Tribolium castaneum: one gene and its partners. The main gene of each other region encodes a partner of the protein of the gene in region 3 in a complex. Links are inferred from orthologs where the notes say so. Each region holds a gene or a part of one and is shown on either strand. Other genes may lie near its edges. The genes, in order: Sf3b1, splicing factor 3B subunit 4 and Prp5.

Region 1 (3,000 bases), on a different chromosome or scaffold from region 3:
TGTAGTTTTTCGTGGTATAAAGTGTTTATTGTTGGAATTTGAAAGTGGATAAAAAGTGAAAAATATTTAAATTTTGATTACAAAGTGTTATCAAACAGTTGTCTAATTAAAGATTATAAGTAATGGATCACAGCGAACACAAAGTTTGGCTCAAGAAACCAATATATTAGTGAAGTGTTTTAAATTTTAGGTTAGAATTTTCCACTGAAAAAATCATGAAATGCTGCGGTAAAACTACAATAAAGATTAACAACTGCTGATACATTTAAACGTAAATTATGCCAAAAGGTAGGTTTTTCAATGTCTTTGTAATAATTTTCCAATAAAGAAAGTGAACCAAACAGTCATTCGTTATTCGTGTTTTCCTCGTCATCTCTCATTTGTCAACATAAGTTTCTTGCATCAAAGATGCAATAATCATTCCGCATAGGCAATGTAATAATTGTGAAGCCCCAAAATTCGTACAACGCTCAAAATATCCGAATAAACATTTTCCCGCCATTTATGGTTACTGTTTTCGACCTAGCTCAGTGGCGCCCCCAACGGTAATTTTACTTCCGATTATCAACTTTAAACAAGAATGCCAACAACTCGGTGTTGCCAATATATTATTTTCAGCTAAGTAATGAACAAAGCTATATAAAATATATTTGGGACTCAAACATATTTATTTCTTCATTGGAATAACATTAATTAATTAAAAAAAGTGCAATATCCTTACAAGCCACTACTACATTAAGTTACAAAACATAATCCATATCGTATCTAATGTACTGATTTTTGGGGTCATTCGCAATGCGGGGATACCCCGCAACCAGCGCATCTTGTCCTCCAATATACAAAGAATTGTAAATCTTCCAATAAACATCCCTCACTTTTCTAGCAGGGTGGAACAACCCCTAAAACACACTCAATTAATAACAGTTCTATACCACCTTTTATCCAACCCACCTGTAACGTATACTGCAAAATCTTAATCGGCCCCAAAGCCACCCTCATGCCTTCAATCGCGTCCATAAATGCCTGCACTAAATGCGGCGACGTCTCGAAAATATTCGGCCACACGTAATTCAAAAGATGAATCAAGGCGTCTTCGCACCCAAACCCGTACACACCCAAGGCCATGTGTTTAATAGCCGCACACGCCGTCTGTCTGTGCACCAAATCCCTGTCCATCAACGCATCCTCAAGCAGGGGGGCCACAGCGTAAATATAATCCTTCCCCATCTCACCAATGTACTCAAACAGGAACGAAAGCGACTTCAAGACACCATTCTGGACGTTAAGTTCCGGCACTCTATACTCATTCATCAAAGCCGGTAAAACAGTAAACGGCGAACAGGTCTCGGCAACTATAGCTATAGCCACAGTCGTGCAAACGCGATTTTGACGCTCTTGCACTTTCAAATTATTCAAAAGCGTGGCGAGTACGTCATGTGGGCCTATAGCCTTAGCAATGTAACCAAAAGTGTTGACCGTCGCGCGCCGAATCGCCTTCTTGTGCGCCTTCAACAACTCGAGCAACTCGAAACAAATACGCATCCATTCGCGCGCGGAGACATACTCCGGCCCCCTATCGGCAATCCGGCCGACTAAATCGATGCAGTTCTCTTGTACTTTCTCGTGCCGATTCTTCAAAATCGGGGTCAGACGTGGCAGCAAGTCTTTAATCGGTGGCGTCATTTTCGTCATCCCGATCACGTTGACTATGGCCTTCAAGGCGCCCAAAATCGAGCCCAGAACCTCCGGGTACTCCTCGCCCAAATATTCATACAATACGACGCCCAAGTGCCCCATGAGTTTCTCCTCCTGACACGTCTTCATCACGACTGCGATCCGCGAGATCAAATCGGCGGCCTGTTGGCGGACCTTGGCCGACTTGTTGTTCAGTCTCCAAAGAATGGTACCGCAAATTTGGGGCAAGTAAGCCTTGACTCTTTTGCCCAGCTGGTTGACGATGGTGCCGAAACCGTTCAACATGACCACATCCTCGGTGGTTTGCTCCTGGAACGCGTACAAAATGCCATCAATCAATTGCTCCTCCAATCGCGAGTCAACGTCGGCCGCTCCTAAATTGCCCATGATCTTCTCGATACTTTCCATGACCATTTTCCGGTACTGTTCGTTTTCGTCTTTCAAATCGTCCACAATCCGGTTGATAATTTCAGAAGCTCCGACTTTATTTGCGATTTCGACAGTCGTGTCGACCAACTGGCGGTAATTTCGCCGGTCCAGCGCCATCCTGTGATTCCAGAAATGTTTAAAGAACTGTGGGAGAATCTCCTCTTTGATGTACTGAGGCTCGACACCGTCAGTCGAACAACACTGCTTGACCACTTTGAGCACAATCTTCTTCATTTCTTCGTCAGGCGATTGAAACTCCCGAATCAAAATCAACATTACTTCTCTTGTGTAATAATTGGCATACTCGGCGTCCATCAGCGGAATCAAATAACCAATAGCTTTCAAAAACGCAGCTAAACCCTTCCCGCGATGGGTCCTAATGCCCTTCCACAGTGGTTTAAGCACCGAATCGAAACTCTCAATACCGTACGGTGTCGCAGCCTCGGCTAACGCCGCGATACCTAACGCCGTAATCGTTCGAACTTTTTGCTGTTCGTCGACCAAACCGTGCTCGATAATCTCAACCAATGATTTCAAATGCGGTAAAATAGCGCACCCCATCAATATTGCGATTTGTTGGACGATTTTAATACCAGTATGCCGGGCCTGCCACGATTTTTTCGACCGACAGACGGCTTTCAAAAACGGCAACAACGAGGGGATTCCCAGAGCTGAAGCGACGACGGCAAACGCACGAGCGGTTGTATTTCGGACGTATTCGTCTATATTGTCAATATCGGGCCGCATGGTCGAAATCATGGTTGCCAATCCGGCGGCTTTGGCCAAATTTGAGATAATCTCACGGCCTTCCACACGCGCGTAGTAATCTTCGTCGATGAGCAACGGTTCGATCACCACCAATATTTTGTGGACGTA
Region 2 (2,518 bases), on a different chromosome or scaffold from region 3:
AAATTCACATTAATTTTATTTCATTGTTTTAGGTGAGGGGTGGAAGTAAAATAAGGAATCTTGTAAGTCACGCATTAAATGAATTTCCAAGTGCTAAAGCCGTTGTGTGGACAGGATTTGGACAATCTGTTGGTAAAACTGTAACATGTGCTGAAATTATGAAACGGGAACACAATAATCAGTTACACCAAATAACGAAACTGTGTTATAGGGTGTAAGTTTGTTTTCAATTAAAAATTTCCGCTGACATGACTTAAAATAAGTTGGTGACATTGCATGGCAAACGCCACTAAGAGTGTCACCAACTTAATTTCAGCCTAAGACGACTTGGATCAGAAATTGCATCATATTTTACAATTTTGCAGAGTAGAAGAATTTTGGGATCCAGTTATTCCTGATTTAGACCAAATAGTTGTTAAACGAAAATTGCCAATGATACATATTCTACTTTCACTAGAAACATTAAGTTTTGAGGAATTAGGATATCAAGCCCCTGGTACCACAATACCATTTACTGGAAATAGTGACAATAATAAAAAGGATAATAATAGGAAAATCCAAAAAACAAGACACAAAACGAAATAAAAAAATTCACCTTGACTTTATTGTATTATTGTTTTTACCAATTATTTTCGCTAAAATTATTCGGAGGTGGTGGTGGAGGTCCCCTTGGTGGGAACGGTGGTCTCCCTCCACCAAAATTAACCGGCGGCCTCCAATTCGGGGGCCGCCCCCCTGGAGGCGGTGGCGGCGGGAAACATCCCGGGAACGGCGGTGCACCTGACGTTGGGGGCGCTGCCGAGTTTGGCGGTCCAGGTGGTGGTGGCGGTAACCCACCTCCACCTTGCCACGGAGGTGGTATCATCCTGGGGGCGCCTGAAGCTTGCGTTGAGGCAGGCATTGGTGGCAGAGGGGGCCGTGCTCCAGCGGCGGAGGTTGGAGGCGGTGGAGGTGCACCTGGTGGCAAGGGCGGTTGGGAGGGAGGTAATGGCGGAGGGGGGATCCCCGAGGGGAAAGAACTGGGTGGAGGAACTGGTGGGGGTGGAGGAGGTTGCATACTTGCCGGAGTGGGGGGTGGTGGAGGCATCATTCCAGCGAGGATTACGGGAGGTGGGGGCGGAGCGAGAGTCATTCCTGGGGGCATCATGCCCATGGGAGGGGCGTCGGCGAATAGTTGATGGGGGCGGTCGGCTTGGGAGAGGGGGTTTTGGGCTGCGAGGAGACGCTCGGCTGCGGAGCCGTGACGTTCGCCTTTGGAGTCTTTCTTGAAGGCGTAGGAGACGGAAATGGGGCGGTTGCAGAGGTATTGGCCGTTCATTGCTTCGATTGAGGCGTCAGATGCTTCGAAACTTGCAAAGTTGATGAAAGCGAAGCCTTTGGAATTGCCAGTGTCGGGGTCTCTCATTATCTACAATATTAAAAAATATAAAAAAAACGTTTGAAAAAAAAAATAGATTGGTATGTGGAGAAGCTGAACGTTTAATTTTACCAAATGGAGTGAGACAAATAACTCAACTGATAAATAACATACAGAGATTAGCAAAATTATAAATAAAAATAAATAAATAAATTTTGAAGGAAGAATGCTCGTATAGGTAATTTTTTTCAATACATGAGAATCCCTAAATCTGTCGCATAAAGCAATACAAGGCACTTACACCTGATTTAACAATTGGGGCTTTTCATGCGAAGCGGACAACGAAAAAATTTGAGATCTTGAAATTCGGTTATACAGGGTCCTCAAAAACTGGCGCACCAACTCAGTGGTACGTTATTGAGAAGCAAGTGTAGATTACGGGAAAAATGTTGAAAAAATTCCTAAAGTCATATTTTAAAAAATCTAGAGCTACAAACTTATTGTATTTAACTTCTTTACTTTTCATTATTTTTTAATGTTTTTATGTTTCACAGTAAGTAATCGTTTCCTAACAAAACGATTAATAATTATTTTTAAATTTTTAAATTTTTTAAAAATGTAAATTTACAAGAAAATAATACATTTCACACTTAACTTAGTTATTTTGTTTTGTTCCTATCGTTTCCAAATACTTTTACAAAATATAGTAGACAAAAACTTTTGTTTTCAATATTTAAATAACAATAATAACATTAATAATTCAGAGTGGCCCATTGCTTGGTGCAAAAGTGAAAGCGCACTACAAAAATTAACGAGAAAAAAGAAAAGAAAGAAAAAGAAATAAGAAATTATCGATATTTTTCTGCCTAGTTAGGTATAGTGGCGGTCAGCTCGATTTGCGTGTGCGTCATCAATTTCATTTTTTCATTACCAACACAAAGCTATAAAAAAATTATCAAAAACAATGCAAATTTAAACAGTTAAGGGCTATCTAAGGGTGGTATCCTTGAACATTGATTTACATGTGCACTTCGACAACACCGTCAAGTGTCACGAATTTGTCAAACTGACATTGACAGTAAATTACAGACGTCGTCGCTTGGTTGTCGAAAATGTTATCGGTGTTAATCACAAGTATTTTCTGTTCGTTTATTGTGTTTT
Region 3 (3,665 bases):
AATTCCTTAAATTATTGGAGCTGTTGGGTCTCTACCATGAGCACGGGAGTATCATTGTCTTTGTCGATAAGCAGGAAAACGCCGATATTTTGTTAAAAGAATTGATGAAAGCGGCGTACAATTGCTTGAGTCTTCACGGTGGTATCGACCAATTCGATCGCGATTCGACGATTATTGATTTTAAGTCGGGGAAAGTCAAACTTTTGATTGCTACTTCGGTGGCGGCTCGAGGGCTAGATGTCAAGCATTTGATCCTGGTGGTTAATTACGACTGTCCTAATCACTATGAAGATTACGTCCACAGGTGTGGTCGGACAGGACGTGCAGGTAAGTGATTAAAAAACCTACAAGAAAAAAGCTCACAAAAATACCACTTACCAATGTTTCAAGTTAAAAAAAAAACACTTCCAGTTGTCCAAAGAAAAAAAAATAGATTTAAAATTTTATTGTTATAATTTTTTTTTTTTAAGTTTTGCAACCTACTGTTTAAGTGAAAACTTAGAAACTGAAATAGTAAAAAACTCAAGACGTTTTTGAGCAATTGAACAATGTTTTATCTTCACAAAAGAACTCACAGAGAAATACGCTCATTATAATAAGCTGTATTTATTGTAAATGGATATTACCTTTCCTCCCTGGTTTCTACTCATGAATAAAGCATTTTCTGTCAATTCAAAAGAGTAACTTTATTTTCTGATCTAAATAACAATTTAAAATTGGGAGGAATTTTACTTAATATTTTGATACTTTTTTTAAGAATTACTCAAAACGTAAACTACGAATATTCTGCACTAATACAATGAAGGAAATCTTACTTTTGTTTTAAACGTTACGTTGTTTTAAACGTTGTTTACTGTTTTAGATATTACACTTCTTTATTTTTCTGGTATAAGAAGAAGAAATAAAACAATGAAGAAAAAAATAATATTAATAAAAAAATACAATCAAACATAATGGGATTGATTTTTTTTGTTCTTGACTTATTTTAGAAGCGGCAATTGTTTTTTATAAATTTTTTGTTTAACTAATATGATATGTAAACACAAAAAATAAGCAAAAAACAATTACTTTTTTCTAAATAACAATTAATAAAAATTAATTAAATAATAATTTAAAATAGTATTTGTATAATACTTTTACTAACTTTTTTATTTTATTTTTGATTTTTTTTGAATTAATTTTTTGATTTTTTTATTCTTACTTTATACTTTATACTTATATACTTTTATGCTTTTTTATTTTTTTATACTTATTTATTATAAAAATGTGTATTTACTAAAACATTAATTTGTTAGCTATTATTAAAAAAAATAAAAATGACGTCATTACTCTAAAATGAATGACGCCAGAAATGCCTTTATGATGTCAAAATGTACTATTTCAAAAAATTAAATCGACTTGTTCGAGGATTTTTTCGAAAAATAATTTATAACATAGTGCGTTACTTTTAATTCATCTGTACAGTCGAACAAAATGAAAATGATGTCTCAATGACAAACGTCAAGTTAAATAAAAATGTAAATTTTTTCATTGGAAAATTTTAACAGCCATCGAAAGTGAGCAATTTTTTTACGATGTAATTTATTCATCAATGTTTGAAAATTATAATTTTTACATAAAAGTTTGACAAATCTAACACAGACTGAATTCAAATGTTTCGATGTTAAACCTAAAAAAACGTTCGAATTTTTACCAAAATTTTTACCATTTTTACTAAATAAGTCGGATAAGTCGGAACTATTTAAGTTAATAATGATTTGTTTTTTTAACGCATAATTTTCTTAAAGAAATAGTTTTATGAAAAAAACTCAACGTTTGGATTTAATTAACTCGACGTTTGTCAATGGAAAATAAGTGGCATTTTAATCCGAATTAGTTTAATTAATTAATTAATTCTGAATTAAATTTAATTTTGCTATCTGTAAACCAGCTCAACTAAAAAAAACTATCTTGAAACTACGTCAAGTTTGCTTCCACAGCTTGAGGCGTCATTTTCATTTTGTTCGACTGTACGTAGAAAAGCCGTATATAAAATTGAGTTGTTTTTGCCAAAAAATTGATTTTAAATTTTTTAGATTTTGTAAATTTTTGTGAGTTTTTTTCTTCTGGGCTTTTTTCTGTGCGCATTTTTTTTCGGTGGGCTTATTTCAATGATTCGTGCAGGTAACAAGGGCTTCGCCTACACCTTCATCACCCCCGAACAGTCGCGATATGCTGGAGATATAATCCGAGCGTTTGAACTAGCTTCAGTCCCCATCCCTGACCCCCTGCGTGCACTTTGGGACTCCTACAAGTCCAAGCAAGAAGCCGAGGGCAAAAAAGTGCACTCCGGGGGTGGTTTCAGTGGCAAAGGCTTCAAATTCGACGAGAATGAAGCTGCCGCAGTCACCGAACGAAAGAAATTCCAAAAAGCGGCCTTAGGTCTTGCCGATTCCGACGATGAGGATTTGGAGCATGACATAGACCAACATATCGAGAGTATGTTTGCCACAAAACGGACGGTTAAAGAGATTAAAGCACCGTTAGGATTGATTAATCCAGCTGCCATGAATACGCAAACGGCAATGGATAAGCTAGAGTTGGCGAAAAGATTAGCTTCAAGGATTAATTTTTCGAAGAATATTAGTCTGGATACGAAGTTTGCCACGCAGCAAGCTGCTGAAAGTATACTGAAGGGGAGCAGCAGCTCGTTGCCGATTACGGCGAAGACGGTGGCGGAACAGTTGGCCGCCAAATTGAATACCAAGCTGAATTATCAGCCGAAGGACGATGATGAGAGGGATGATATTGATAATGAACAGACGTTTAGGAAGTATGAGGAGGAGTTGGAGATTAATGATTTTCCGCAGCAGGCGAGGTGGAGGGTGACGTCAAAGGTTAGTATTGTCATTGGAACACGTTTTTATTGTTTGCCGATTTTACGATTTTTCCCACTTCAGGTAAGTAAACATTCGGAAAAATATACAAAGTGTGTTAAAATGATTTTCATCTAGTCGTCTGTGCCGCAACACAATTTTTTTACATATGAACCGAAATAAACCAATTTCAAGGTTAACTAGTGACAATCATTTTAACACACCTTGTATAATTATGTGAAAAATCGAATTATTGTTTTTGGAAGAGGTTTTCACAACATAATAATATTTATATAATATATAATATATAATATATAATATATAATATATAATATATAATATATAATATATAATATATAATATATAATATATAATATAAATAATAAATAATAAAATGTGTAATGTAAAAAAAATCTGAAGCATGATGCAACTTGATCGGAAAATTGTATCATCAAGCCTCCGGCAAGAGATTGAAAAGTTGCATCAGCTGGTTTAAAGTTTCATCTGTTTGCATGTTTTCCACGCAGTATTTCTTGTAAAATCGGGGTGTGAAGTTCCTCAAAAAATAATTGTGTGAAGTGACCATTATTGGATTTACTTCTCGTCTGTAGAATAAACCAATTAAACTTTTTTCCTCCGTGTAGTAAATTCTTGTTGGAAGAATTTTTTCTATTTCTAATTTGATTAGTCCTAGCCTCTGGCGGCCTGATTACTAAATTAATTTCATAACGTACAGAAAAAAAAATTCACCGATCGTGTTCGGAATTATTCAGAATGGAAACTTTTAACTCGGCTCCGATTTCAAATTAT

Evidence for each region.
Region 1: Prp5 (region 3) and Sf3b1 share a complex: the UniProt entries of both Homo sapiens proteins name them as parts of the 17S U2 SnRNP complex. The link is inferred for Tribolium castaneum from reciprocal best matches to the Homo sapiens genes DDX46 and SF3B1.
Region 2: Prp5 (region 3) and splicing factor 3B subunit 4 share a complex: the UniProt entries of both Homo sapiens proteins name them as parts of the 17S U2 SnRNP complex. The link is inferred for Tribolium castaneum from reciprocal best matches to the Homo sapiens genes DDX46 and SF3B4.

Annotation. Positions count from the first base shown.
Region 1 is NC_087395.1:16,044,164-16,047,163, reverse strand, and holds the end of Sf3b1 (splicing factor 3B subunit 1), read right to left. Parts: coding exon 952-3,000; intron 900-951; coding exon 741-899; 3' UTR 650-740; downstream 1-649. UniProt on the Homo sapiens protein: Component of the 17S U2 SnRNP complex of the spliceosome, a large ribonucleoprotein complex that removes introns from transcribed pre-mRNAs.
Region 2 is NC_087395.1:2,320,530-2,323,047, reverse strand, and holds the end of splicing factor 3B subunit 4, read right to left. Parts: intron 1,409-2,518; coding exon 620-1,408; 3' UTR 579-619; downstream 1-578. UniProt on the Homo sapiens protein: Component of the 17S U2 SnRNP complex of the spliceosome, a large ribonucleoprotein complex that removes introns from transcribed pre-mRNAs.
Region 3 is NC_087399.1:726,792-730,456, forward strand, and holds part of Prp5 (probable ATP-dependent RNA helicase DDX46), read left to right. Parts: coding exon 1-327; intron 328-2,163; coding exon 2,164-2,876; intron 2,877-3,665. UniProt on the Homo sapiens protein: Component of the 17S U2 SnRNP complex of the spliceosome, a large ribonucleoprotein complex that removes introns from transcribed pre-mRNAs.